4 linked regions of the Lepisosteus oculatus genome follow. The protein of the gene in region 4 purifies or fractionates together with the protein of the main gene of each other region. This does not show direct contact. Links are inferred from orthologs where the notes say so. Each region holds a gene or a part of one and is shown on either strand. Other genes may lie near its edges. The genes, in order: cep97, cep290, centriolar coiled-coil protein of 110 kDa and cep76.

Region 1 (8,023 bases), on a different chromosome or scaffold from region 4:
ATCAAAGCAGAGACGGTATTAGATTCTGGATAACTTCACCCCGATTGACGCATCAGAATCTTATGCTACAACTGGCGATTATAATCGAGTTTATTAATTATGTTTGGTCATTATCTCGAGAGCGTAGTAGACTTAATTGGGTAAGTGGAAGTGTCAATGAACCGCTTTCCCTTCGAGGTTCTTGTTTAGCTCATATTTAGCACAAATATTACCTTGTAAGGAAATGCTTACGTATTTTTGGTAGTAAACGAAAACAAAACCCAAACTTATAGTTCAAATTTACGCTTCGTCTTATCGGTGCAATATCTTGAATCAGTGTTGCCATTAAGTATTTTTAAGATATACAATTTTTTTATAAACCGTCCTCTACATATAAAGGCTCCTGTTATTGCAGTACTCCAAATAAACATTAGTAAAATGTTACTTTAACAATAGTTTAAAGGTATGCATCACCTCTAATAAAATCATCTGCCTTCATTACTAGTGCATATATTCAGAGAAAAACAGCACCACCTTAGTGATGACCAAAGTATTGGGGTAAACACCATTAAAAGGTTTCAGTTGTGATCACTTAGAAATGTCTAGCAAAATATTCTGCCCAGATTAATTTAAATTGGGACTCAATTAGCAGTCTTCCCCTAATTATTTAACCTTGTGCAGAAAAAATCGATGCGGTTATTAACAGCACTCTGAAGAACATAGGGTAGCAAAGACATGCACGGTGGTCCCATAAACAGACAAATCTGTTCACAGCCACATGACAAAACTCGAACTGGCAACACCCATGTATAAAGAGACTCAAGGCAACATACAGTACACACTGTCAAAAGCTTTATTCACAAATGGTCATCGGATCTTAAATTTAGCGCTTTCCACCAACACGTGGAGCCTGTGCCTTCATAGGCTTGGCAATCTTCTGCTTCGGAGCTGCTTTCGCAGGGGCCTGCACAGGAGAAGAAGAATACACATCAGTCTCTGCATATAATCAAAGAGCTGTATTACAGAATCAAGAATCCCCATCCGGAGGATAACCGTTTCTATGCTCTGTGCTTGAGTTAAAATCTGTTGAGCAATTTCAATCACCAAACTATTCACATTGTATACCTCAGGTACAGCCAAATTCTGATGTGTTTTAGTAACAGCCTCCTACAAGCTATATGCTTGTATATTTGAAGTAAAACATCTTGTTTTGAGTAAGTTAAATAAATGAGGTTGCAGTGTTATTTACATTTTAATTTTTGCTTCCCAAGTACAACTTGTAAAAGCTTGGAAATCTTACAACTTGACATAGATAAAAATTCAAAGCAATGTGGATTATTAACTATAAGCTTTTTTTAATTCTAAACGGCACAATGGGTACTACATAAACACCTATGACTGATACTGATTAATCTTAATTTATTTTGCACTAAGTTGATTGCTATCTTGCCATTTACAATTCTGAAGAAATTTAACAGAGCTACTACACAGGGTGTTTCAAAAACAGCACCTTTAATGAATGGCATAATAGAGAAAACATGCAGTAATTAGTTCTGTATGATTAAAACGGGTGTCACACAAATGAAGACCACTTTCCAGTCCAACCTTTTTACTTTTCATTAAGCCCCCCCACACTGACTCCCCTCACTTCTCTAACCTCTTCAAAGTAGGAAACACAAAATATGAAAAAAACGAGTAGGGATGCACACAAAGAGGTGCGTTTATAAATCACTATATCATAAACTAAAGAAAACCTTAACCCTGTTACAGTGAACATGTCCTTATAACACCCTTTAAGGAATTAAAATGCAGTTAACATAAATGTCTTTCTGGAAGGTGAAGTGCATCTCCTCTATATGTAAAGCACTTTGGAGTCCTTCGGGATAAGAGGTGTCATATAGTCTGTGTAAAGAGTATGGTCAACTGGAAATAAATGCCGATAACTTTACCTTAGCACTTGGAGCAGCCACCTTCTTAGTTGCCTGTTTGGCCTTTTTGGCTTCTTTTGCAGCCCTGTACATACAGAACAAGAAAAAAGATCAACAACTATAACCCACCACAATCGCCATCAATCTTGCTTCCTTTCTCAGCAGATATCTGTCTTTCAACGGAGTCTTAAAATTCATATGAAGCTCCAGACTTCCAAGTTACTCCTCAAAAAAACTGTCATTTTAAACACAACCGTGGCAGATCTGTTGCAAGCAAGAAAAGGGATTCGACACCCAAGTCCGATTCTGCTGCAAGTTCAGGAAAAAGACTCCACTTAAGGTAAATGCAGAAAGGGAAAAGAGGGAGGCAAGAATGTAACAGACTTTTCCAATAGCCAGGGAAAGCACCAAAGTTTGTCAATGATCGGACATTCCCCTCGAGTACACCTCCTCAGACACCCCAGTTTTCCCTCACCTGATGGCCTGCTCCCGCTGGGCCTTGCGGACCTCGGGCTTCTGGTTCCTCTTGGCCAGGATCTCAGCAAGAGAGGCACCAGTGATGGCCCTCTGGAACTTCACAGCCCGACGAGTTCGCTTCTTCTGAACCTCTTCCTTTCAGCAGAGCAAACCACAAAGACAATTAGATCAGTGCAGCACTGAGTCTTTCAGACCTAGTCCGACTGTCGTTGTACTGGGTTTCCTTGGATTCTTTCAATGGTGCCAATCAGGAGGGAGTACTTCATTCTACAGGCTGCAGTAATGCTCAACATTCTCACCAAATGATGCAATGAAAACTTCCATGATATCAGTCTTTATGTGTGCGTTGAACAATTCTGAACAAAATTCACAGGCAGCTCCTGCTTGATAAACTAGGTTGTCAAGTTCACAAGAGCAGCTTTGTGACTCTGCAAGCAGCAAAATCTCATCAAAACACTGAAATGTTAGCAATGATTGTTTAACGATACAAGTATTCAACCAAAACACATAAAATGGCAAGGTTACACTAGCGTTGGTCACATGGACATAGCCAGCAGCCCCTGCCTTCAACACTTACAGACTGGCCTTTCTTGTGCTTGCGTCTGTAGAGGACAGTCCAGTTGATCTGTCGGGGATTCCTCTTGGACAGGAAGGCCGACTCGCATTTTGCATTCAGGAACTGGAAGACCTTTTGTAAAGAGCAGTGGAAATCTCAGACTGGTTGACATTACCACACCCTATTGCCGTTAGACAACGTCCCCCCCCATCAGATTCCACTTTTAAGACCCCACTTCCTCTCCACTTTTCACAGTGCACGTTTCTGATCCACATATCCAATCAGAACAGAAAGAAGAAAAAACTGTCAATATCACTAACGATGTTCCATCCACCTTACCATCACCGTTGGCCCTCTAGACCTCGATCCCTATCAATCTGTGACAAAAACGCCTGGACCAGGGGGAAGCTACACTGGCTCTCAAGTGCCAGCCTACTGTGGGTCCCAGAGGCACCTTTTAGCTACTACCCGATGAGACCTTGAGAACACAGCTGACTTGACTGATCCACCTGTTTCAGGAAGAAGTTGAGAATCCTCCAGGCTACTGACAAAGTCAAGCCAGCTAAAACTGTTGAGAATGAACGCTAACCAGAGGACAAGTGAAAACCATGTGGAAGGGCTTTTAAAAAAAGGCAGTTCCTTACCCAAAGGGTTGTAGGGGCATGTAACAAGCTGCACAGCTTTGTTGCTGAAGTGGACACCTGGCTTCTTTCAAGAAACAGCTCTAATGGATCAATGAACTATTAAGTACCAGACCCAATAGACTTCTCTCATGGGAACTTTCTCATGTTCTCAAATTTCAAGTCATTAAGGTCTTAAGTGGAAATAACAGAAACACTAATAGTGCTGGCAGACCAGTTGCCTTCCCCAGACTGTAAACATGCTATTTATCAACAAGGGCCAAACCATCCTTCCTGTACCATGAATTTTAGTCTGCCAACTTGTAGCCAAGTAGAACTTAGCAATAACATTGTCGCCTAAAGGCCCTGCAGTTTCACATGAGTACTCAAGTTTTAACAGCTCTGCTAGTGATACTATTTACACGCACAAGTTCCCATTTTAATCCGTCAGTCTCGTGGGGGAAAAAAAAAAGTTTCACTTTATAAACTCGGCTGAAAACATCTGATCTGCAAGAATGGCTTACTAGCGCTTTCACGGGACAGTGCCGCCATTAAATAGCATCTTGGAGGATGGAACAAACCATTCCTCGGAGAAGTTTGCTTTGTCACAGAGCACGTTCACTCAGACATGTGTCATAGAAATTACCCTGAAACAAGGACTGATCACCGAGTCATAAATCAAATGCATGGATAGCAAAACCACAACGTTTCTAGCTTTCCAACGGAAGAACCATGCGTGTTTGGACTGTACCGAGGATGCGAGAGCAGCCACTTTATAAAACCCCCCAAAATCCAAATTCAATCACACAAAATAATGACTGGCCTAAGCAACAATTCACCTAGAAGTTAAAACATCTACGTTCGCGCCACAAGACGTACGGACAAGTTGTTGTACTTCAGGCATTTAAAGAACTGCGTAAGTTAAAAAGATAATCTTCTCAAATCTGACAGAAAGTGAACTGTCATTTGATTTGTACAATAATTCCAGCAAGAGGGAAACCGGTACAGACAAGGCCGGCGGAACCCCTGTTTACCTTTCCGTCTATCCTGGCGTATCGCCGGCCGTGACCGGGGTAGATCTTGTACCCACTGAAACTACAAAGCTCGACCCTGAAAAGAAGAAAGACAACATGATTACAGATTTTAAAGGTTGTACTCGGCTAACGTACTACCCAAGTTGCGTTATTTTGATGGTTTTAAGCTCAGATGGCCACGGATAAGACTCAGAAACACTCACTTCATGACGGCGGCTAAGATGGAGAAAAGAAAGAGGGGATTGTGGGTAATCCATTTGTACGAAACTGTAATTAATTGATTATCAGAATACCTCCATGAAATCCAAGAGAAGGCCGCATACATTCTTAAATTTAACAAACAAATGCGTTTTTATTTTCATTTCAAACATTTTCTATCGAAATTAAACAGCCAATAAGCAGTTAAGTTGGTTGCTTGGCGTTAGTACAAGCGGGAAGTATGGCGGCGATGGAGGGGGGAGTAGAAGCTAAAATGTTAGAGATAAAAGGTATGGTGTTCTGTTCACTTAGAGTGTAAACCGTGTCACATTTTCTCTAGACCTCTGTCGTGGGGGGATCTACACACGGCCACAGATATCGAGAACGCCTTTTGGTGTAATTCCATCATACAATAAGGTTTTGCGTTTGTTTTGGATCAAGGCGCAACTGGCCCGATGCGTAATGGGTGTTGTAGTTTTTTTGTGTTCTCATAATTCCGGAGTTGGGAGTAAGAGCCCCGAGGTTGGGGACTACAGGTCCCACGATGCCTTGTAAAGTCATGGTGACAGTTGGTAGGAACTGAAGTGTAGTCGTTACTGCTGAGAGTCTTCGCTGCTCACCCTGTTTCTTTTGGAAATACGATATTGGATTAAAATAACCTTTAGATTAATGCAGCCATACATTTAAAATAAGTTCTGTGGAGCCGCTGGTTTATTGTGTTCCTTTCGTTTACAAAGAGTCGTGAAAGTATTCAATTTTACAAGGCTGTTTCTCAAACAACTGTCAGGAGATTTCTGTTTTAACTGTAAAGCCGTGTCCTGTTATATTTAAGATTGTAAACATATGGAAAACGCAGTTTAGCTAACGAGAATAGTGTCTTTGAACGAGAACTGTTACTATATTTGAAACATGGGAGTAGAAAGCCCGAAGTTAGACAAATATGGTAAGTACGAGTTTTACACATTTTCTTCTAGCATACTCTAGCTATGATTTTCAATTTTGTACTACCCGCTTCTGAAATATCTTAAATCTGTACATATATTTCAACATTAATTTAGTTATGCTATTATAATAGTCATTGCAACCACATCGGGCATTTTTATTTGGTACTCGACGGTATTCTGTTCGTCTATAAGAGTATATTTGCGTCTATAAAAACCCTATTTCTGTTATTCAACCAGAACAGCCCAGAGCGCTTGGTATACTGAACACCGTTGGAACAATGCTTGGAATCACAGCGGACTATTTGAATACGAAAAAACCTTTAAAATGGGTCTAGTCAAGTTCACGTCTCCAGATTTGGAAAATGACTACTGTATGCCTCCTTGCCTGCATTGTTTTCATTTATGTGACTCCTCTTTCTCTTCCTTTGGGATAGTGGGATAGAATGTCTGCTTTTATAAAGAAATTCCACATTCAAATCGAATGAGATGTGGCCCTGTGCAGTCTTGATAAAAGTTACTCTTAAATCCATGAATGTTACAAATTATTCGTGTAAGGGATTGGTTGGTTTTTTTTATGAGTAAGGAATCACATTTAAGAGGCAGTGTATTACATTACATTTCCCCCAAAATTCCTGTTATCTAGTTAGTGCTGACATCCATGGTCCTTTAGCGGAGACAGTGGGGGACTGGAGTGTACTGTAGCAGATGAAGCTCCTAGATGCTTGCAGTCAAGTGTCTCTGTGAGAAGCTGTCTAATACTGCTTCCTTTGGTTAGCAGCATGGAGAGAATATAATCCTTACATTGATATCGTGCTTTACTGGACACTCCACTCAAAGCAGTTTACAGGTAATGGGTACTCCCATCTACTAAGAATGTACAGCCCATCCTGGATGATGTGACGACACTATAGTGCGTCAGTACACTCCCCACACACCAGCTCTCAGTGGGGAGGAGAACGGAGTGATGAAGCCAGTTCAGAGATGGGGATTATTAGGAGGCCATGATAGGTAAAGGCCAGGGGGGAATTTGTCCAGGACACCAGGATAACACCCCTACTCTTTTTGAGAAATGCCCTAGGATTTTAAGTGACCACAGAAAGTCAGGACCCCGGTTTTATGTCTGATCTGAAGGACGGCGCCTTTTTACAGTCTAGTGTCCCCATCACTGTACTGGGGCGTAGGACCCACACAGACCTCAGCATGAGCGCTCCCCGCTGATCCCACTAACACCTCTTCCAGCAGCAACCTGAGCTTTCCCAGGAGGTCTCCCATCCAGGTTCTGACCAGGCTCACACCTGCTGAGCTCCTGTGGAGCTGTTATAGAATACTGCTGACTGAGTGGGAGGGGATTGTGCTGTTCTTTTTTGTTTTGCTTGTTCTTTGAGACATTTTAGGCAAATATAAAACTGTTTCCGCGAGATGGCTATCAGGTTACCCTAATGTATTGTGATAAGTCTGGGATTCTATCCCTTGACGATGTAATTTCACCTGTTTCCTGTTTTGGAATCTTCTGTATCTTCCTGGCTGTTGTGATGTGCCTGTCTGGGTTGTCCACCCTAGTACAGTCCTCTTGTGTTCGCTGTGTGCTCAGGCCCTGTGGTGGACCTCTCTGCCCAGGGGATCCAGAGGCTGGAGCCTTCTCTCCCCTGCCCCGCTGGTGCCCACACTCTCATCCTGGACCGGAACCAGATCATAAAGCTCGAGCACCTGGAGAAGTGTGAGGAGCTCCTGCAGGTCTGACCTGGAACCCGATCTCATCTCGTTAATGTATTCATGAGGTCTCAACCGAAAGCTCCCCATCTAGCTTGTTTTTATTCTTAAATATTTTCTTTTGATCTTTGCTGCTCTCGTCTGCTGAAAATGTGAAAGAGATGTACAGTAGTTTATCATACAACTCAACTTTTTTATGGGCATAGTGGATACGCTGTTGAGTTCCTTGAGCTTAGCTGCATGGGGCCCTGTGTATGTCAGTAAATTAATAAACAGTGCCATTGGTTAAAAAAAAAAACAATTTTTTAATTCCTATGTATGAATGTTGCATGTAGAACATTTTGGGATAAAAAAGGGGATCCACTTTACCTACTACAGAAACATAGCACCCATCTATGGGTTGGTGGATCAGCTTGCAGCTTCACTGCCCACTAAGGAGAAGTGAGAAATTAAATCACTTGCTGAATTAAGAGGGAAGTTTAATTGGATATGATTCTGTAATGCCAGGGGGAATTTAGCAAGTAATCTGGACCTCAACTCAAACTCTCATCTCAAGACTGTCATTTTCTCCAGCAGT
Region 2 (6,847 bases), on a different chromosome or scaffold from region 4:
AAAAGAAAATACTAGGCTGAGACACCTTTAATCAAAGTACTAACCTAAAACAGTTTTGTTTACGAAATAACCATTACGGAGCCAGAATTAATCAATTGTGGACATCTTCATCAGTTTTTTAATGAGTTCATTTCAATTTTTTCTTGGTTTTGGACTGCTTTGATCGTTTTAGAATTGTTTTATCTGGGTAAGTCATTCCAGTACTTAAGACTACAGTATATGAAATGCCTCTCTGTAGTATAGGTAGTAAAGCTGTTTACAAGCATTTGTCTATTTTTACCTTCTGTGATATTTTACTGGTCCCTAAGATATAGAACAAACATCTTAACCTCATGTTTACCTGGAGTTACAACCACGGTAAGATAACACATATTGATACAATCAAAGTGGTTTGTACTTTATTCTTCTATTCCTACTGAAACACACAAATTGAATGTTTTTCTTTGAAAAACTGACAGATAAGCTTACATGATAGGGGTTTCAGTAAATGCACTGCATATGTAACAAGGTCTTTAACTGCAGCCCCCAAACACATGCAATAAACTAAAACCTCAACGAGCCAATATATGAGTATGCAAATCTGCAATATAGCATTTTTATGGTTAGGATAAAATAATGTTATCTTAATGTCACAAATCACACCCATATAACCAAGCATACACTCTACTTCAATTTAAACTCTCTTTAAGTAATCTTAAGACCTTCCATGTTTTAGTATATAAATAATGAATCTGCTAAAAGCTGACATGCACATTGACATGGACCCGCATTAAAAGAAGAGCAAACTGTAACTGAATTAAGTACACAAATTAAGTACAGTGATATATTTTTACAGCAAAGAAAGGGACTATTCCATGAAAAATGTGATATGATGAAAAAACTGTTTTCTGTTGACTGAAAATACTGTACATGTATAGTAGTTGGGTTGTTTTATGGGTTGGTTTTCATCATCAAAACAAAAGGCATGCTAATGGAAACTCAAATGGAGACATGGCTAAATTCTGCAGCATCATTACAATCTACATTTAACTTGGACACGCAGGTACCCCAGCTTGTAATTTGCGTTAGCCTGCAGTGTGAAATAACCAGATTGCCAGAACGCACATGTAGGAAGCTTTGTGCTCTTCATTTAATCCCTTCTGAGCGTTGCTTTCATGAGGACAATTCACAATTTGAAGAGTGCGGGTAGGGGGGACAGGTTAAAAAACATTTTAAAAAATGCATTTTAGAATTTAAATTAACATAGCCTAACATATCCTTTTTAGGAATGAAAAGTGAGAGTCTGTTGGTTTGCACATTAAACAAAAAGGTCATAATGTGCCCTTGAAGCTTTGATTATCAAAATAATAACTACAATTTTGAACCAAAACAAAATGCATGTTAATGAATTAAAGAAGTATATTGAATCAATACGTCTTACAACTTTCAAAAATCTGCAAAAGTCAGAGGAATTGAATTTCACTAATCTAAATCTCCAACCCAAATGTACTACAACAGTATTGAAAGAAAGTTTTCAAATACTGTTTTAATATACGTTTTGAAAGCTCAATTGGAAAAGACACTCTTAAATTTAATCTATTCTGTAAGGAAATTAATTTCAGTTTAAATGAAACATAAACCAAACATTTTTGAAGTGCAGAGTGCATATAATGTTTGTAGGTTCAGTTTTATACACTAAGATGTCTCAGAAACCACTATTTTAAGATTTCCATATTTACTTCCACCAAACCAGGGTTTTGGATTTTAGGTTTTGGAGCTTGGTAAAAATCTGAGAAGCACGATCAAAGCAAAACTTACTATAATGGTAAATATGTGAGGGCAAAATTCTTGGAGAACTTATAAGTGACCTACCTCTGACATAGGAGTTCCCCAAAAGTCATTGAGAAAAAGATTTTGGAGTGGAGTTGTGGGCCGCAGGTCCTTGTTATCCAGAATAGCGGAGACATCGTCAAAGACAAATCCGCAGAACAGGCTGTTCCAGTAACAGGCCACAACTACTCCGGCCAACAGTGCAATTTCCTTCCAAGTCATTGCAGCCATCATCTACCAAAAAGTTCATTGGTTACTGCAAAACAACCAATACAACCCAACAGATAAGATTTCAATTCACAACATTCTCTTTCCAATAAAACAAATAATGCATTGACATTATAATAGAATAAAAAAAAGTTAACTGATAGCCACTGGCAGAGATTAAATGCTTTGGAGGGTGTGAACTAGGCCATGGGAGTCTGTGAAGAAAAAACTAAATTGTCAGCACATGGTAGCATGTTATGTCTGCCAACGCCAATTGTATTCTGCTCCTTTCCATACCACCCATAAAACCTGTAGGCTCCAAGAGAGTCTGGCTAACACAAATCCGACACTAAAAGTATTTTTAAATGTTCTCAATGTTTTTGTTTTTCTAACAAAGAGAATATTGTACAGTATCAGCCTAAAAGCTACAGTAGTCCATCAAAGTCTCTCTAAACGAAAACATTAAAACATGTCCAGAATATCCTAGTTTGCGTAATCAATTAATCAGGAACCCTCGTATTTTAACAAAAGGTCGCTGAGTATTCATTATAAGTATTAAATAACTGAGAAAAATCTAAATGACCACATTTTCTGAAATATAGGTTTTGAAATTTTAAAAGTATATAAATATTTATTTTTAAGAAGTCACTAATCTATCAAGGGACCGCGTATTGAATGCCTTGCATTGATTTATTCAATATGTATTCGCAGCGGATGCTTAACAATCGCAAAATTAAAAAAAAAATACTACACAAACTTATATAATTAAACCATTTCTACCTACGAATGACAACCGCCGCTGTATTAGATTATATTTCGTAGTAGGCAAAATGTGTTATATGAGGCCGACGGACTTCTCTAACGTGAATAAAAGCTGTACTTACTGAAGAAATTCTAGGGAAAAACACTAAGCTTTTTTTTCTATTTCTCAAACACTTCAAAAACTCTACGACTACAGCGGCATTCATCACATCCTTACCGCTTTGTCATGCTCGACGCTAAACTATAACGAAACACACTATTTTATTTAACTGTACATAGCATTCCTGTTCAATATGTTACTACAGGTAACATATTTCTTCCTTCATTTCCGGGGCGGAAACGGGGGATTCTTAAAGGAGCGGCCTGAAATTAAAAACGAGGAATGTTTATATTAGAAAGCTTTCTTTAATTTCCTGTATTTCAGTCATTACTTGCTTTTCGACTTGTTAACAGACAGTAAAATAATGCAGTTATAATGCAGGGAAAAATCTTTTATCAGTAAATGTAGTATGAAATTAACGCAATTGTTTTAAGATTTTGAATAATTGTTTTAACTCCCCACAGGAAATTATATCAAATTAATGCAAATAATAAAAGAAATGCTTCCACTGATGTCCCTTACGTTATAACATTAAATATACATACATATAATTCGCGTTGAATTACATTGCAATGCTCCTTATACTGGGTTTCGCATGAGAATCCATGAGAGTCCCAGACCAACCGTCTCCCAAACCATGATTGGCTCATCCTGACGTCACCTGAGCAACGATTGGAAGAATTTGAGTCTACACGTATTTCCCCTCCATAAGCGTCTGGTTCAAAGATATTTCCCTTTTATTTATTTTTTTTCATTTGTGTAAGTTCACCCTGTCGTTTCGTACCCTAAGTAAGATTAGAAATAAAGACAACGTTGTCTGAGAATTTTTCAAGACTCTCCTTCTCTGTTATTTTTCTTTTTCCTCTCTAAGAACTTCAAATCGCTGCTCTGGGGGGACGGTCAGGAATTAATTTAAACTTTACTGCAATTTTTGCGTCTCCCTGCCGTAAAGCGGTGCTGGATTTTCGACTGTTTGAAGTGGTAGCCTAGCAGCAACAGAAAGCATCGCAGCACAACATATTCTGGGAGACATAGTATGAGGTTTAAACTTTAAATTAAAGATGTTTGATTTTGTATTCATGAAAAAGAAGCGAGTGTACTGTATCTTAACACCTGTCGTTAGTAAAGTCGGAAGGCTTGAGTAATAAATTATATTGTTTTTACCTTGCATTGCTTTTGAAAATCATGCAGGTTTTGATAACAATAGTCGTGCTACGGTTTCGTGGTTGCATATGGGAAATTTCTCTTAGTAAAATGATTAATAAATCACAAATTCTAATATGCTTTCCTGTTTTCTGACCCTTTTCAACTTTATGTCTACCACCCACAATACCTTTTAATCTTTATGGGGTTGCTTCTGACTTGGAATGGGTTATGATGATCAGCTTGTTTATTGAGTACATAACGGGAACTAGATACAGTAGATACATCCCTGCTATTGAACCCCTTGAGCAGTGGACTTTTTAGTCTTTTATGTTTAAGTGCATTCTGTTCCTCCTGTTAGGTACTGTTCGTTACTGTTATAAACCGGACTGCTTTTTTATTAAGCGATACATAATTTACAGTACCTATAGTGAAGGCTGCATGACAGGAGTTCATAAAATCATGATGCACAGTATTGGATGTTGCATGGATTAATTATTGTGTGCTGAGAAGATTATAAAAACGATCATTCATATAACCCTCCAAATAGGTTTCCATGTACCTTTTTTTTTTCCTGCAACGTGCAACCACAAATGTCCATTTCATAATAAAACTAGCATTCCTGCTCTTTTGAGATATCTACATACCTTTAGGGGATTCGTTTTTACAAACCTTTAAGCGGTTACTTTTGCTACTGTTGTTTTGATATAGCTTAAAATACAAACATGTTTTCCTAGATTGGAACCACACAGCTTTTAAGATGCCTTTAAAAATTGACTGGGGTGAACTGATGGATGTCGATCCAGATGCCTTAACAGATCAGGAGAGCCTGGCCCAAAAACTTTTGGATTTCATTTCACAGGTATTGTTCTTCTTGTTATATATATATACTCGTGAATTTTGTCACTTTCAAGAGACATTTATTGACTGAAAATAGTACAGGAAGCCACTAACACCACTTTTAAGTTTATCTATACAAGACAATTTAAATTTGAATCTAATTATAGTACTGTATTTAATTTCTAATATTCTAAAATTGCCATCATTAATAAAAGTGTAATATATATACAGTACTGATCATCAAAAGAAATGTATAGATTTATATGCATCTGTGTAAATAAAATATACACCGTTAATGTTAAAATATACAATGTTATTTGCATCTTTTTGATTATTTTTTATTCACATTTGTAATATACTCAAGTGACTTTGACTGTTACATGAGCACTAAATCATCTCAGTTGTAAAAAATATTAAAATAGAAACTGACGGGGCACAGATGATAAGGTAATTTAAATCTGGTGAAATACCAGAAAGGAATAACTTTGCTTGTTTACCAAGACCACAGTGTCTTTGCGCCTCTGGTATATTGTAGGTTGGACTAGGTCACCTTAAGAGGACTGTCCAGCTGTGTAGCCAAGTCCTCTTTAGAAAGATTCAAGGTTACTTTGGACCACCCTGATGGTTGTCAATGAGTGTGGTGCAGATTTGTGAAACGGGTCTATATTTTTTGTGTACAACAGACAAATCAGTGTGGATGTGTTGATATAATGGTCAGGGTAGGAGTTTCAAGTCACTACAGAACTCAAATTGTAGAGGTAGATGGCAGCCTGACCCCACAGCATTACATTAACATCCTGACAGAACAACATTCCAGCAGGATAATGCGTGTCCTTAGGCTGCTCGTGTATGATCTGAATTCTTGCAAAGTCATTGTTGGATGTTTGTACCAAGGCTACCATACTTAACGGACTTAAGCCCTATTCAATATCTGTCTGTTGTGTCAATACAATTAATACAATTTGTTACTGTATATACATTTTGTGTTGCAGTTTCTTATGAAAGGCCCTGCTAAGTGTTTGTAACTTTCATAGTAGAAAACTAGTTGATCGACTCTGTTGATGAAAAAATGTGAAAGAGAATAATAGATTTACCTTTGGCTTGTCAGTTCAATAAAAGGTCTGCATAAAAAGATAATCTTCTTGTGACCTCTGTAAACGTGTTGCAGTTATCAGGGTTAGCTTATTATGATTTCATTTTTAATCACTTAAATGCAAACAGTGAGGAAAAAACAGACTTTATTAATTGCTTGTACATTGAAATTGTTAAATCAGACTATTAGAAACCATTTGTTTCTTTTTTGTGGATTTTATTTTCTTTCCATTAATGTCTAGTCTTTCCATACCCACCACTGGATGTTGGTGTCCCGAAGATTCCCTTGCATGTCCTTTTTTTCCCATTTTCTTTTTCCAGCTTACTTCAGCAAAGCTTTTGACCTATTTTTCCCAGTCATTTCTCTGTCTCTTGGGAACTTTGCCCATTTAATCCCTCACTGCTCTATTCTTCTTGCAGTTCGAATGACTTATTACTATGTTAATGTTTTCACTTTTTAAATAGTGTTCATTGCTCACTGATACATCTATTTCTGTCTTCTCTTGTTTTACCAGTCACAAGTATTTGTGCTGTTTTGGAATTCATAGTTTCTGATTTTTGCTTTTAATAACTGATGGCTTGAAGGCTTTTCCCCTGTGACTAATGGCAACATTTTCTTTCAGTATTGTACTTTTCCTTTTGTAATATACTCCATCTCATCTTGTCTCAGCTTTTCATTTTCCCCTTAAGGTATTTATGTGTGTTGATTTGACGATGATAGACATAGCTGTTGACTTTTAAAGTTCTGTTTAATCAACTTCAATCTTTTTTTCAGCCTCCACACTACTGATTACTATAACTTTAATCATGCCTATGTTAAGTCTGGCTTGTATCTGAAGGTTCCAAAATTTGAAGATGTTGTTGTTTCATGGATGCTGGTGAAGATGATATTCT
Region 3 (7,797 bases), on a different chromosome or scaffold from region 4:
TTTTTGGGTTTGTTTTTTGTTTTGTAGGGAAGTTAGCTTGTTTTATGTGAATAGGGGAGTGTGAGTAGTCAGAGAGTCTGAGGAAAACTTGTTTTGGATAAGTTTGTTTTTTTTTGGGTGGGGGGTCCTATGTTAAGTGTGTTGGAGTATATTTGGATAGAGTAGTATCCTGTTTGGAGAAAAATAAAGAAAAAGGCCTGTTTCGTTTGTAAAGCTATTTTATGTTGAGGCTTTAGTTATGTATATTATAACAAACCCGGGGCTTAGGCCATAACATGCGGAGTTCGTCCGGGTTACCGAAGTTAGTTTGCTGTGCCGGTTGTTCTGCGTCTTTGTTTTGTTTGTGCAGTTATAGAATTTTGATATTAAGGGTTTGTTGATAACCTGCACAAAGGCTGAACTTTTTTTTGGAATGCCGTATATTTCCAATCGGGCGTAACCTGTACTGCCCGGAAGGCTGAACTTAAAGCTCAAATAGTTACTGTACTTCTCTGGTTAAACGTAAATTACTTGTTTTTGATCCATCATCGCCTGTTAAATTGTCTAGCGACGGTTTTCGAATGAAACAACTGGAGGTCGAGTTAATAATGAAGGCGCTAGATGGAAACGAAACGGTTGAAGAAAATCGCTACGATTGGAAGAGGTAGCGCTGGAAGCGAGCAAAATGTGAGCTACTCCGTTTGGTGTAGGCCGGGATATTCGTCTGGTTTCACCGAGAGGTGGATCAATATTTTGCTTACTTGAAACGTGTAGCTACTTCGCATGAATGGGCAAAGCTTGGTCTTTACTCCCAGAGTGTGCTTGGTAGAATCAGAGACGCTTATTCCTCTTTAACTATGGATCACAGCCCTGGCTGTGAAGTGGCTATAAAATACCATTGAGCGGACATATAAGCTGGTTCCTCAAGCTTATCGGCAGCGTTTTCGGCGATGCAAGAGGGGAGACGGCAAGATGAATGTAGAAGTTGCACAAGAAACTGTTCGGTAAGTGGTGTGCTTTGTTGCAGGTAAAAGCTGTTGATACCGCTTGTGCGGTTTAAGAACTGCGTACCTCGGGAGACTGGCACGTATTTAAACGAGGGAAAAAGGAGCTGCGGGTTTCAAAAGTTGCTGTTCTGGCCAACGAGTTATTTTCGACTCGTAGAAACGCATGTATTTAAGGTGAGGCTCCTGCGAAGCTCAGGTTTACATGGTGCCGCGGAGGTACAACCGACGGGTTCTGCTGTTGCTGTAGAACATCCTGCTCGTTAGTCTAATGAGCATCAGAGGAAACATCCTTGCAATTATTCGGTTATTAGAGAAACGCTTTCATTTTTTCTTTGCTTTGCTTCATTTTGAGATTTAGGTTTCTGGACCTTCACCTTGGGTATCTGCCGCTGAACATAACCCACTAGTAGCGTCTCCACCGAAACAGGAAGACATTCAAATCGGAGACTAACGCGAAGGAGTTTTACAAGTGTCTTGTCTTGATATCCGACATGTCCGAGGAGGAGACGATGTTGGGGCAGGTGCTTTGTCTCGAGTGTAAGTGTGTTTTTATTATTTTAAATAGTTCACAGATTTAGGTAAATATAACTTGGAGGGTACTTTTTATGTTTTGAAAGGGTGGGAATGTCCTTTACGTGCTCATTTTCCTCTGCTTTTTGTACAGGTGGAGGGGAGGTCTGTCGGACGGTCAGGGGGTCTCCTCGGTCTCGCACAGGGCTTGCCTGCTTGTGCTCACTACCGGAAGGGCTCGCAGAGGCCTGCGTTTTGTATGTTAAACTGCTTCCAGTTTATATTCCAACAAACTGGTCTTGGGCCGTAACAAGTCTAGTTGCTCCAAAGCAGTTCCCCCCCCCCCCCCCACAGAGATCAAGCTTAAACCACTTCTCCACACTAAGGTTTTAATCCCGTGGGTCATTGCGGCCCTATTTAGTCCCCTTTTCACTCAAAGTGCTTAAGTGAAGTGCCCAGGTAGTGGGGAAACGACCCTTGTTTGTCGTTTAATGCATCAGACAATTAAAACTAGGCCATTCCTAGGCAGGATGCCGCCGCCTTGCGGCCGCAGGTGGGGATGCACCATGCTCTTTCACGCTCTCCTCGTACAGCACAGTCTGCTTGGGTTTCCAATCCGAGCTCTCTGAGCTGGATCCAACACTGCTGTTACTAACGACACGCATGAGGTTCCTCTAGTGGATGATGTGAAGTGTTGTGCAAGTCCGGTCTGCTGTCCCCCCCTCATTAAAGACCTGTAAATTTCGCATCCGTTTCCCTTTCCTTGGTGCGAGCATGCGTCGTGTCAGGCGGTGGACGCGTTCAAAACACCCGGTCCACACACAATTTAAAAACCCTCCGTTTTGTTCCGCGGTCGAGAGAAGGGGTGGGGGAAGACACAGCGGGCGCCGGGGTTTGTCCATGCCCAAAGCGGGGACTCACCTTCCGGATAGCGGCCAGGGTGTTCTCCGGAGCGTCATGTCCCCCGCCGCGGTGCGCCACCACCGCCACGCCGCCGCCGGCCGCCCGTCGGTCGGGGCGCAGCACCCTCTGGGCCCGGCTCGCCGGCACCGGCGGGTACCGGAACAGGACCAGGAAGAGGTAGAGAGCCGCCGTCCCGCCGGTGGAGCACAGCGGGCTCCGGGTGCCCAGCAGCAGCACGAAGAAAACGACGGAGAAGAAGGCTAGCCCATCTCCTAGCTGCAGCATTGTGGCGGACCCGTGTGTGCGTCTGTGTGACGATCCGGCTACCGCCGAGGCACGGCTCCGTGTGCCGGCGCTGTCAGCTGGGGGAGGCGGTCGGGACCCGGCGCTAACAGCGCTCTTGTGCCTGGCCGTCCAGCCCAGCGCGCAAGCGTCCTCTCCGCCCGGGGGAGTGGGCAGGGCCGGGCCCGCAGGACCCGACCAATAACAGCGCAAGGCGCACTTACCCCCGGCGGGGCTGGGAGACCCGACCGGCGGGGGGCCTCGCCCGCGCAGGGGGGTAGGGTGCTCGGCCGCCTTGACCCTTGACTGTATTGCAACCCAGTCGTTTCGTCTCGGGGAGAATGAATATTAATTTAGATGCTGGATGGGATTTGTTAGATTCACCTACTCCCCCCTTCCCAGTACCATTGTCACTGGCGCTAGCTGCAGAAATCGAAAATAAACCTTCAGTCAGATTGTATGCAGTGGTAAATGGTCCATACAGGGTTGTTTTTTTTTTTTAAGTTAAACCATCCAAACTGGACGCTGTTTGTATTACTGAGCCATTTTTCTGGGCCACGCCCAAAATCTAGTCCACGAAATAACTCCGCTCGATGAAATAGAAACCCCCAAACAATATAGTGTATAATCGTTCCCTCAATGAAGGAGTACTTTTCCGGATACTGAAGATATCGAGTCCGTTTTTGAATATTGATTTATTGCTGACAATTCAGCTTGTTCAAAATTAAAGGAATAACTGAAACTGGTGCTTTATTGTACTGATTTAGTCCCAGAAAATGACAGTGGACATAAACGATGAGCTGGAAAAGCCTGCCGTGAACTTTAATGACGTTAATAAAACAGTTTAACATTTATTTGCTGTAAACGTGTTTGATTCTCAAAAAGACGACAAAGCTGTGCCCATTTTACTAGAGCAGGCCAGTTTGTAAGAGGACGGCTTTATCAGCTGATCTGCATTAGAGGATAATTAAAGCTGCTGTTATCTGGACATAGTCTCACGGAGTGGTAATTAATTAATTAGGTGATTGGTGAAGGGTTTAGAGGTCACATTCTCACAGGGGGATCAATCAGTACTGGTTGGTGTATATAGCGCTCAGAGGGGGGAGTGGCAGAGTGTGTGTATTTGTGTTAGGAGTCTCCTCAGCTGTTCTGCCTGAGAGCCGATTGTGAGTTTTGAAAGCGTTTGGACCCTTTGAGCTGCCTACCAGGAGCTGGGGCTTGTTGCAGTGGACTACAATTGTTAACCGCTGTTGAGAGTTGTCAACTCTCTAAAAGTAGACTGCATTGTAAAGGCTGTCCAGAGCTCCTTTGTAAAGCTCTGTTGTTTGGGGGTGTCAGAAAAGCAGCCCACTTAATAAAGTAAGACTTCAATCCGTGATGGCTGTGCATGTGTGTGTTTTACTTGCAGTTGCTTTTTGCACGAGGGACGTGCTCATCCTTCACCTCCCAGCAGAGAGCAGTTCTGAAGCGAGGCCTCTGAGAATGATTTAAATGATGGAGGTGGATTTGCTTGTTGTGCCTGATGTTTGCTGTGGGTGAGGGATGTGAAGATGGTTGTAAATGTTTTATCCTCAAAGGTGGCTCATGTTTAAGTGCTGAAAAGCTAAGGGGAAAAACTATCTGAAAAAGGCTTGAAAATGGATGTGCTAATGTGCCTTGGGTCCAATGCCAGACCTGGGATGCTGTCTGTGTGGAGTTTGTATGTTCTGCCTGTGTTCACCTGGGTTTCCTTTAGGTGCTCTGGTTGTCTCCCTCAGCCCAGAGCCACTGGCAGGTTAATTAACTTTTGGGAAAGTTGGCCCAGGTATGGGTGTCCGTCTGCCCTACAATGGACTGGTGCTACCTTGAATACATAAGGATAAGAAAGTGGGTGGATATTTGTTCGATAAAATGACGGTGCAGCTGCCGGAGAAAGATTGTCCCCTGCCTCATAAACCTAACAGATTCACACAGAACTGTACCAAGTGTTAAAAGTTCCTCTGGTGCTCAGTGGACGTGTGAAGAGGGGATGTCGGTGCATCTGCTGTTGCCCTGTACAGAGTGAGTCGGCTTTTCACGGCCTCCCGGCAGTGGGCGGGGCTTAGGGGTTGCTAGGAGGCGCTGTTGCCGCCGGAAGATGGCGGCTGCTAGGGAGAGGCGGGCGTTGGTGTTTTATGCTAGAAACCGACAAAAATAACCATGTTGACGAAACCACCGTATTCGTGCGCACGTAGTATAACCGATTTACGATCTCACCGACGGCATTTCTGTGAAATTTAAGGAAAAGTAGGCCCGTTTCTTCGTTTTGCGTGTCATTTGGACGTGAGGTAAGGAGGGGGCTTTCTCATGATGAACTGTCACAATCATTACAGCAAGTTCATTATAGCGGGGTGTTTATAGCTGGGCTGGTTGCCGTTGGTTAACAGCACCACTTATTTCGTTATAAGATAGTTTTCAGTCTTTGATAATCCTAGACTCTTCACGCGTACAGCATTTCGTACAGTGGCGAAAAAATGATAAATTTTGCGATTCCAGTACGGTTTTATGCGGAGAATGGTTATTACCGTATTTATACGATTTAGTATACAGCTTAAAAAGCCCTCGGATATTTTATGACAGTATAAAGTTGTTTTTCATATATCGTTTATCTTAAAAGGCACGGAAGAATACAGCAGGATAGGAGAAAGACTGTATTTAACGAGCTCAGCCGTTGCGGGTGGAAACGCGTTAGGAGTCGGAACTGCTGGGGCATTATGGTCCAGGAGACATTTCTGGAAAACTGTGTTTTGTTTTAACAAGTCAGAAGAGGAAACATGGGTTGCTACACAGTAAATAAAAAAAGAAATGCACTAAACCACAGGTTTGCCCCCATAAGTTTGTTAATTAATTTGGAGTGAAAGGTTATAGCGTGAGTCTGGGTTGTGTCAGAGAAATTGCAACGGTCAGGCAAATATAATCTGTGTACCTAATAAATAGTTTTTTGCAATAATAATTAGTCGTTTTCTTAATGAGTACATTCATTTACTTACAGCCTTTGGTTTGAAAATACTTGTTCCTCTGAAGAGTTGGCCCGTGATCGTATTTTACTCATTACCTTCCTATCTTGGCTGGGTTTTTCTGAGGTAAAGATTGGTAGGTAGAACATTTAATTTGATTCAAAAGGCTTGAAAAACGTTTGACAGAGGAAATCAGTGTTAATTTGACTACTTTACTGTTAGTACCTATTATTTACCACCTTAAGCTCTACCCTACTCTTTTTTAAAAAAAAGCTAAAATATGTACTGTATGCACTGTACCTGTACTGTTCTTAGAGGCATGTGAACTGTTTACAGATGTATCAGTTTAAAGATACCTACTGTATAATCAGATTTTACCTGTCTAATTCATCACAGCTCCTTGGGAATGACAACAGTTATTGGAAACTTTTCCCATTTGAAGGATAAATACCCTCTCATTTATGACCAAATAAGTCTACAGACTCTGGCTGACTACGAGGACCACGCGAAATGTTTTTTTTTTAAAGATTTTTTTAAAAATTTGAGTTCACCTTGGAGAAGGTATTAGCACCACTTGCTCTTCATGCAGACGATTATATAGATTTTTTGACATACATAGTGGTCAGCATTGCTGCCTCGCAGCTCCGGAGGCCTGGGTTCAATTCCTGCCCCGGGGGCGCTGTCTGTGTGGAGTTTGCATGTTCTCCCCATGTCCATGTGGGTGTCCCCTGGGAGCTCCGGTTTCCTCCCGCTGTCCAAAGACGTGCTGATAGGATAACTGGCTTCTGTGACGCAGCGGGTCCTGGTGTGACTGTCTGTCCTGCGATGGCCTGCCGCCCTGTCCAGCGCGTACCCTGACTTGCGCCCGTTGCTTGCTGGGAATTTGGAAGAAGTAGTTAGAAGATGGGTGGTTGGATAAGTTGCCATATTATTAGTCTGTATGGTTGTGTGCAGAATGGTAACGGGTGTATTAAATGTTTTAGCGAGGTTTTCTTCGTTGGCCCGTCGGAGGTGGCCGTGGATGGACCCCCTCCTCTTGCACTTCTGACTGAAGGGAAAATGACCGCCTGGTGTCTTTGAAAGGGGGGTCAGTTGAGAAGGTGGGGCTGCTTTGTGAAGCTGCTGTTCGCATTGGCTGTTCCCTGCAGACACTGCCACGAGCGATGACTTCATTCTCCCTGGGAAAAGGAGTTTGCTGGGAGTCCAGCCTTGTTCAGGGGCTGTGTTACAGTCAAGTCAGGAGCTTGTTACTGGGTAACGAATCAGACTCCCTTTCAGTGTGCATTTTGTCTATTTAGAAGTTCGTGGCTACAAAGACAATCTTAGGTAAAGGAAATTTCAAGTTTGTGCCCTTACATTTGGTAAATAGTCATATGTAGATAGGTGACTTTAAAAATGTTTTCTTTTTTGTTTCTCCGTTGCAGTTTTTGTTCTGATAAAGCTGCCTGCAACTTTTGTTACGCAAAATGAATGCCGGTGCTCTGCAGCGGGCGTCATGTTTGTTCCTGGGCCTCTGCAGCTTGGCATTCTTGTCCAGTGAAAGACATGTGAAGCACTACAGCCTGGTGCTTGCTTTGCTGTGCTTTGCTGTGCTGTCAGGAGAGAATGAACATGGCTGTCCCCTGTGTTGCCTCTCTGCAGTTTGCCTGCGCGGGGATGGAGAGCTACGAGGACTTCTGCACACGCAGCTTGGCACACCTGCAGGCGCAGGGGCAGACCCACGGCGTGGCCACCCACCAGCAGGGGGAGCTCTCCATCATCCAGTTCCATGGAATGCCAGTACTGTCACCTCTGGTAGGGAAAGCAAAATGTCACATATAAAGACATCTGTCTTATTTACTGGGTTGCTGATGGTTCCAGAAACACATCCAGCCTGTTCTCTTAGGGATCCGCTTCGACCGCAGTGCTTGGTGGTTTGTTCCACACAGTTGGGATCAGTAGAATGCAGAGACGCTAGCCTAGTCACCATCGTAATCATTCCTTGCTTATGTCAGACTCTTTTCCCCCTTAAGGATCCCAAGCTTTTTTGCACATAAGAGGGGACCCACTTCATCCATCATTGGCGTACGGCACCTGCCTGGGGGACCAGCGTGCCCAGTACATTACATAAATCCAGACTAAATCTCGTCTACGTCTACAGC
Region 4 (7,577 bases):
AAACATCTGAACATTATTTATTTAGAAAAAAACATAAATATGATTTTATTCCATCCAGTACTTAAAAGTTTTAGAATTCCTAATGTTTTTATGTAAAAAAAGGTCACAAATATTATCTATAACTGAACACTTTTCACAATGAGCAGCTGGGCTGGCTTCCTTTGCTAAAATTATGGATGGTAAGACTGAATTTTCCATCCTATTAGCAACACCCAAATCTAAACAAAACCCGCATAGCTAACTCTTGTTGAAATACTTACGGGCTTCTCCACCAGATGGAGCCACTCATTGAGGTAGTTCACTAGTGCAAAAGCATGTGGCATATTGTCACCTTCGGAGCAGAATATCAACAGCACTGCTAATGGGATCCCTTCTGAACAGCTGAAATACAGAAATACACAAATCTCTCCCAATATATGTTTGCACTGCACAGAAAATATCAGTTTTATTCAGACAAGTCCAGTACAGAAAGTGTGGTGAACTGTATGTGTCGGCACACATGGTTAATCTAGGGTGACAGTTATAAGAATGTTTTCTTTTTATTGTATTCAGTATTCATAAGTAATAATTACAATTTATAAATGTTTGCTTCCTAGTATTATCTACTACACCAAAAGGAATAGTTTGGACGGGGGTTACTCCCAACTTTTTGCCAATATTTTACAAGCAGGACAAATCTACATCTTTGTAGAACACAGTGTACGATTGATCAGAAATGCCTCCCAACAAGACCCGTAGGCTTTTAGTTCAGCGGGTCTGGAATCAATCCTGAGAAGAGCCTGACAGCCTTACACTGACAGACCCGATATAAGTATTCAAATTCTTCAAAGACACTGACAAAGTCAACCCTGTGAGCTTTTTTAGAATTCACTAGAAAAAAAAAAGGAGTAGAAATGGACAGTGAATTAATGTGAACTTGATTTATTTGTTGGCTTTCTCTATATAACCTTAGGGCTCTGGCCTGTACGTTCAGATGCATGCTGATTTCTCTCTAGATCGTTTGGTTTGTTACATGTACATCCAGCATAAAGCTCCCATGCTATTTCAATAAATTAATTTGAATTTAGCAATCAGATTGGTGGAATACAGACGACTTTTAACTCAGCGGGTTAATTTAAAGAATAAGGCCCTGGACACTAGTGTAAAAGGGAGAATAGTACATTTAGCAGTGCAGGGTTCACTGAAAGTCCTGAACGCCGCAGTCTCGCTGGACGTACCAGTCAGCGTAGAGGGTTTTAGTGACACCTCCTCCAGGGATGTACAGGCGTTGCTCCGTGTCACTGATCCCCGGAAAAGCCGACACCTTCTCCATCTCTTTCCAGTCCAGCTTCTGCAGTCCATCTCCGACAACGCTCTGCAGGGCAGGAGTGAGCAAATAGCGCAGAGGAGTGCTGGAAGCAGAGGACGGAATATTTCTTTTTTGTCAATATAGTCAACCTCATATAAGCATAGAGATCCAAAAGACCAGGACAGCGATTCAACGAGCCCAGTTATAGAGGCTGAGTGTGGAGCGAGCACGAGCAGTGAGGAAGGAGACTTCAAGAGCGTAGATATCGATGATCGAGGAGCAGTAATAATGCACACAGCCAAGGTGGGCCTCTCTCAGCCAGTCCCATGTGGTCAATTTAGCATTTTCCAATTGACGACCGTGTTTGTTTTATTATCATCATTTTTTTTTATTTGATGTTTTGTGCGCAGTTCAATTTCCTATGTGTGCTGATCTCGTAACCTGTGCGTGCGCTTACCCGCCCACAGCTCAGAGGGAACATTGCTCATACCACACATTACTACACAACAATTCAACTAATGTAATGCTACTTTGCGTTAAAGGTATAGGTTAAAGGTACTTTGCGCAGGATAATTGTCCATCCAGAACATCGGGAAGAAAAGGTTTAAACGAACTAAAGCTTCTGCCTGTCTGCTTTATTCTTTATTCTTATTCCCCTCAACATTGTGCTGCTGAAAGACCACACAGAATCAGCAGTAAATCTGCTAGCCACTTGTTTTTATCTACTGGGTCAAAGAGCCATCAATGTGAAATACTACATTCATCACAGAGAAGAGAAAGACAAAATGACATAAAACCGAAGATTAAAGATGAGAGGTCTCTCACCTGAGGAGCTGACGGTCATCCCGATGATGAGCATGACAGCTAGACAGGAGGACAACTTTGGAGAATTTGTTTGTCTTGATCCAGGAGACAACACGTTTCCGAAACTGCCTGTATTTCGTCTAATAAGGCAAGAAAGAAACGATTAGACCTATTCCTGTAAGTTGAATGGTCACAGAAAAGCTGTACTAACAAAATGACAGACTAGCTTTTTTACAAGTAATAGAGGTTTATTCCATGCTGAAAAAAAAGAAGAAAGAGAACACAACGTTTCGGCCGTGGAGCCTTCTTCAGGTCTGGGCTTGGTCACACACCAAGGTCACACACCTGAAGAAGGCTCCACGGCCGAAACGTTGTGTTCTCTTTCTTCTTTTTTTCCAGCATGGAATAAACCTATTACTTGTTCCTTTGCAGCCTACGCATCTGACGCAGCTACCCACCTGAACTAGCTTTTTTACTACCCATAATTTAAACTCAAAGGAATGGACCATTGTAACTTATTATAATACACTTATTATGAAAGCCAACAAAGCTGCAGAAGTATACAATAAAAGTGATATAATGAATGCGACTTCACTAGCACTGAATGTGCGATTATAGGTTTATGTACTTTTCTTCTTGAACATTCACTACACTTCGGTGGGGCTCTACACAAATATAGTAGTCCTACTTGTGGTGGAGTTAATTACTCCGTCTACCTTCTTAGACAGGTTAATTACCCTTAATGACTTAATTAGTCTAATTAATTCATCTAATCAGCCTACTTAGCCTCTGGTCCATAGCTTCTTACCTGTATGATGGGAGCCCGGATCTGAAGGACAGCCAGCTTTAAGTCAGGCAAAGAGTACACTGTGCACAGACAAAAACAGAAAATGCCACTGACATTTCTTTGGATGTAACTTTTTATCATTAAATCTATATACAGTACTAAATACATCTGTAACACAGAATGTGCAGACTTATATGGAAAGAGGCACAGCACTTGAATTGTCAGAATGTTACATACAATTTTGGTCACTACATCATAAAAAATCATTTGTTGTTCTTTCATCAGTCCAGCAAAGAACCACCAGACATTCAGGGACTGAATGGAATATCCTATACGAACAGGCTACACGCACTGAACCTTTTTCATCTTGAACACAGAAGACTACAAGGGGACCTGAACCAAGTTTTAAACATTCTCAAAGGCACTGACAAAGTCAACCCAGTGGTCTTCTTTAGAATAAACAAGAGGACACAAGTAGAAACTGACAGTGAATAAACGTGAGCGTGAATTATTTGCTGGTTTTCTCTAGAAAAGCTTATGTTCTGGCCTGTATCAGAAAAAGAATATCCACTGTAAGTGTGAGTTCAGATGAATACTGAACGTTCTTTTGGTGGACTACATGTACGTCCAGCATGAAATTCACATATTATTTCAATAAACGTATTGATTTAAATCTACAACACTTAAAGATGCAATAATAATTTATAGATGCAAATTATTATGCATTTTAAGGATGATCTTAAATCACTACATAGCCTGAACCTGCTATAGTACACAGCAGATCGGTTATTTACAAGAGTTTGAGAACTACAACAAAACTACCACACATTCAAGACAAGCTGTGTCAGTTTGGTACGGGCTATCTAAAAAATCTAAACTTCGTTGCATCCAGACGCGTTGATGCATATACGTATCTTTGATGAGCAGAATCCGTCCACATACTAACCTTCGGCATTTGTACTGAGTTCAGATGAATCTTCTGGCGATGTGGCATAGGGATTATTTCCTACCATGGGTACTAGACAGTCACTGTGGAAATAGCCCACTCGAGGCATGTGAAGGGTAGAAATGACCAGGTCTGTTGCAAACTGTCCCACGTTTCCCACCGATACCGCCGGCTACAATCAACCACAGGATAACAGCAAAGTAAAGGAACGGAAAAATATATAAGCCCTTTTTTAACATGTAAATTAACAACTAGAAAAAAACAACATTAAGCATAATGTAAAACGTCTAACTTACCATTATAAGGGTAAACTCTTTGAAAGAGGGCGCTGAGCACCCAACCGGAATAAACATGTTTGCGAGTAAGAAAAATAGACAATTCGGTAAAATGATTTTTAACTGTACTAATGTGTACAGAATGACAACTTTCCGTTTCACTACAACTCCATGCTACTTCCAGGGTCCTTCCTTGACATGACGCTCGCTTGGAGTCTGTTACGTTGAGGGTGGACTTATATGGTGCCTGATGAAAACTAAAATGACTTTTTGTTAGACACAAAATATATAACGAAAATGTCATTATCTTTAAAAAGTATGGACAAATATATAAATTGGGTGTAATATGTGTGCTATTTCCCTTTGCTGCATTTTATTTTGTGCAAGATTAAGTCGGGCACTACAATGGATGGCTTCCCGCTGGCTTTTCCGCCACGGTTTGAAAGTTCTGTCTGCTCGTTGGTTGTTGTGGGGAGGAGACGAGCTTGACGGTTCAGACTGCTGCTTTCGAAAACCTGGAAAGCGAAATCAGCCCCCCTTTTTTTTTAGTTTGACCAGTTTCAATTTAAGTAAGCAGGGGGAGTGTGAAAGTAGTCACGTAATTAAATAAGTAACGATTTGTTCGTTGGGACTTCTATACAGTAGACGTCCTCTGTGAGCATGTCTCTTCCACCAGAAAAGGCTTCTGAGCTGAAACAGATCATTCACAACCACTTGACAAAGGTGAGTACAGTATTAGTCTCACCAGAGACGCCTGCATGCTTTGGAGAAATAATATGATCTTAACCCATCGTCCAGACTTTCCAAAGAAACGAGTCCGGAGCTTAAAGTTTGCGGGAATAATGTTGTAGCACTCGAAGATACTTATGGGCCACTTCAGTGAAAGTACAGGTAGCTAATGTGACAGGTAACAGTCCGTCTTTCTAAGCTGTTCCTGCTGTCATGTTTTCGGCTTCAGGTTGAGCATTCAGTCGGTAAGGTTTCCTCCTGGTTTTAGTTGCCCGATTGCTGTGCTCTGTCCACGGTTCTGAATTGTTGTCTGATCTCTTAAATTCCGGACTCTGTAGTTGCCAACATTAAATAGTTCCTTTGGCCTACAGTTCTTAAAAAAAAATATTTGAAATCAACTCAAGCATTTTTCGAAATAATCAGATAACCATCATCGCACTCTGCAGACCCACTGGGGAAGGCCTTGGTACAGAACTGTGCTTCTTGTAGGTTCAGTGCGACTAAGCTTTAACGCATGCTACTGTATTAGCACTCAGAAAATGGGCGTATGTACCACGAGAAATCATATTTTAATGTGAAAATTTTAATCAAGATCGTGTTCAAGCTGTATGCGGCGTTTATTTGAAGATACAGTGTAAACAATTTTTGTTTTCATCATTCACATATCTTCTACGGTAGTTTGATTCCAGCGAAGATGAAAGAAGGCCTTTGGTCCAATCCACCTCTTATGTTAGTAGCTGATTGCCGTTTCTTGCCTGAAGCCAGGGTACAGGCTACAACACAATGTCTGGGTAGTTTGATTCATAATACTCTCACCCTTTCTGGGATAAAGAAGTAATAATAATAATAATAATAATAATAATAATAATTGCTTACACTTATATAGCACTTTTCTGGACACTCCACTCAAAGCGCTTTTACAGGTAATGGAGACTCCCCTCCACCACCTGGATGATGCGACGGCAGCCATAGTGCACCAGAACGCTCACCACACATCAGCTATTAGTGGGGAGGAGAGCAGAGAGTAATGAAGCCAATTCATAGAGGGGGATTATTAGGAGGCCATGATTGGTAAGGGCCAATGGGAAATTTGGCCAGGACGCCGGGATTACACCCCTACTCTTTTCGAGAAACGCCCAGGGATTTTTAATGACCACAGAGAGTCCGGACCTCGGTTTTACGTCTCATCCGAAGGACGGCACCTGTTTACAGTATAGTGTCCCCATCACTATACTGGGGCATTAGGACCCACATGGACTGCAGTGTCTGCTGGCCCCAATAACACCTCTACCAGTAGCAACCTAAGTTTTTCCCAGGAGGTGTATCTAATGGATGTATCTAATGGATGCATGTGCAGATCGATATCCATGGGAAGATCCGGGATGTCTTGGCTGAGACCGTGCGGGAGGAGCTGGGCTCTGGACATCACAATCTCTCGGAAGAGGACTTAATACGGGGTTTGCAACGAAGGGGGATCGTCGATGATGTCATGAAGGACCTAAGCTTTGTGCAGGTGAGTGTTTGATTCAGATCAGGATTACAATCCAGTTTATCTCGCGGTATCTTACCGACGCAGAAAACTATCTCTGTTTTCGGTTGTTTCCATTTTAACTCTGTATCTATGTTTTCAATAATAATAATAATAATAATAATAATAATAATAATAATAATAAACTTTATTTTATATAGCGCCTTTAAAGGTGGCTTCTCAAAGCGCTTTACAGGATGACAATAACAATAAATAAGAAGACTACAACAATAAATAGGAAGATTTCACAAGATAAGACACAATTACAATTACAACAATAACAATAGAGGAGACCGTGGAAGGTGGTACTAAGAAGAGCAGAGGGGTGAAGAATGGAACCAGTTAAGTAAAGGCTTTTCTGAAGAAGAAGGTTTTGAGTCTGGATTTGAAGGAGTTTAGAGAAGCTGACTCTCGGATATCCTTGGGCAAAGAGTTCCAGAGCTTGGGGGCATAGCAGGAGAAGGCCCTGTCGCCCATACAATGTAGACGGGCTTGGGGGACAGTAAGGAGGGCTTACTTAATAATGAAGGAAGGACACTTATTTGTTGGGAAGTGTGCTGTTAAGTACATGATACTGTATAAGGGTGACATGTTTTCCCCCCGTGAAGAAATCTCCTGATGTCTGTTTCCCTTCCCTCTGTGTGTGTGGCCTGGATTAGGAATTGCCAAGCAGAGAGGCCATCTCTACTCCTAAACCCTCAACACATTTTGTCGACAAGGAGCCAGCACAACTCAAGAAAAGTAAGAAAGACTTTTAACGATATGCAGTGCAATAATGTTTGGTCCATTCAGTTAAATTGGAAGAACTGAACTGGAAATTACCATTTACCATTTTAATGGCATATTACATAAAGGCAAAAAAAAAAATCTTACAATAGGCAGTCTGATTTACTTCAGGGTATGCGTTAGTGTTAGCTTTTTGACTCCGAAAATACTGGTTTAACGGTTCGCTTGTGCTACAAAACTATCGTGCAGTACTTCCTTGCTTTACTAAAAAGTAGAAATGGGATTTTTTTACTGAGTGTGAACATGAAGTAATCCTTTTGTCACTGTTATTTATCGATTACTTTAAAATGAGCCTAATTCTAACTCCATAATCGCATTAATGGCCCATCGGCGTCTCCTAATTGAGGTTAATTTCTTTTCCAGCCAACATTGACCCAACAAGAAGGTACCTTTACCTGCAGGTTCTTGGGGGAAAGGCTTTTCTGGAGCATCTC

Evidence for each region.
Region 1: the proteins of cep76 (region 4) and cep97 purify together in Homo sapiens (co-immunoprecipitation; 4 studies listed by BioGRID and IntAct, with this or other methods). This does not show direct contact. The link is inferred for Lepisosteus oculatus from reciprocal best matches to the Homo sapiens genes CEP76 and CEP97.
Region 2: the proteins of cep76 (region 4) and cep290 purify together in Homo sapiens (co-immunoprecipitation; 5 studies listed by BioGRID and IntAct, with this or other methods). This does not show direct contact. The link is inferred for Lepisosteus oculatus from reciprocal best matches to the Homo sapiens genes CEP76 and CEP290.
Region 3: the proteins of cep76 (region 4) and centriolar coiled-coil protein of 110 kDa purify together in Homo sapiens (co-immunoprecipitation; 4 studies listed by BioGRID and IntAct, with this or other methods). This does not show direct contact. The link is inferred for Lepisosteus oculatus from reciprocal best matches to the Homo sapiens genes CEP76 and CCP110.

The regions. Positions count from the first base shown.
Region 1 is NC_090710.1:28,114,308-28,122,330, forward strand, and holds the start of cep97 (centrosomal protein of 97 kDa), read left to right. Parts: upstream 1-5,007; 5' UTR 5,008-5,033; coding exon 5,034-5,082; intron 5,083-5,106; exon of another isoform or gene 5,107-5,701; coding exon of another isoform or gene 5,702-5,735; intron 5,736-7,327; coding exon 7,328-7,470; exon of another isoform or gene 7,471-7,514; intron 7,515-8,023. Other genes in the region: rpl24 (large ribosomal subunit protein eL24), read right to left, coding at 863-943, 1,929-1,992, 2,383-2,519, 2,962-3,072, 4,595-4,670, 4,798-4,802. UniProt on the Homo sapiens protein: Acts as a key negative regulator of ciliogenesis in collaboration with CCP110 by capping the mother centriole thereby preventing cilia formation. Required for recruitment of CCP110 to the centrosome.
Region 2 is NC_090702.1:17,387,259-17,394,105, forward strand, and holds the start of cep290 (centrosomal protein of 290 kDa), read left to right. Parts: upstream 1-3,835; 5' UTR 3,836-3,912; exon of another isoform or gene 3,913-3,919; intron 3,920-4,758; 5' UTR 4,759-4,781; coding exon 4,782-4,883; intron 4,884-6,847. Other genes in the region: protein O-mannosyl-transferase TMTC3, read right to left, coding at 1,852-2,043, 3,424-3,528. UniProt on the Homo sapiens protein: Involved in early and late steps in cilia formation. Its association with CCP110 is required for inhibition of primary cilia formation by CCP110.
Region 3 is NC_090714.1:3,117,190-3,124,986, reverse strand, and holds the start of centriolar coiled-coil protein of 110 kDa, read left to right. Parts: upstream 1-4,784; 5' UTR 4,785-4,987; intron 4,988-6,181; exon of another isoform or gene 6,182-6,910; intron 6,911-7,297; 5' UTR 7,298-7,312; coding exon 7,313-7,450; intron 7,451-7,797. Other genes in the region: gde1 (glycerophosphodiester phosphodiesterase 1), read right to left, coding at 2,418-2,684.
Region 4 is NC_090705.1:9,336,154-9,343,730, reverse strand, and holds the start of cep76 (centrosomal protein of 76 kDa), read left to right. Parts: upstream 1-4,571; 5' UTR 4,572-4,760; coding exon 4,761-4,823; intron 4,824-6,186; coding exon 6,187-6,342; intron 6,343-7,016; coding exon 7,017-7,098; intron 7,099-7,506; coding exon 7,507-7,577. Other genes in the region: psmg2 (proteasome assembly chaperone 2), read right to left, coding at 261-381, 1,218-1,391, 2,114-2,232, 2,901-2,959, 3,826-3,997, 4,122-4,178. UniProt on the Homo sapiens protein: Centrosomal protein involved in regulation of centriole duplication. Required to limit centriole duplication to once per cell cycle by preventing centriole reduplication.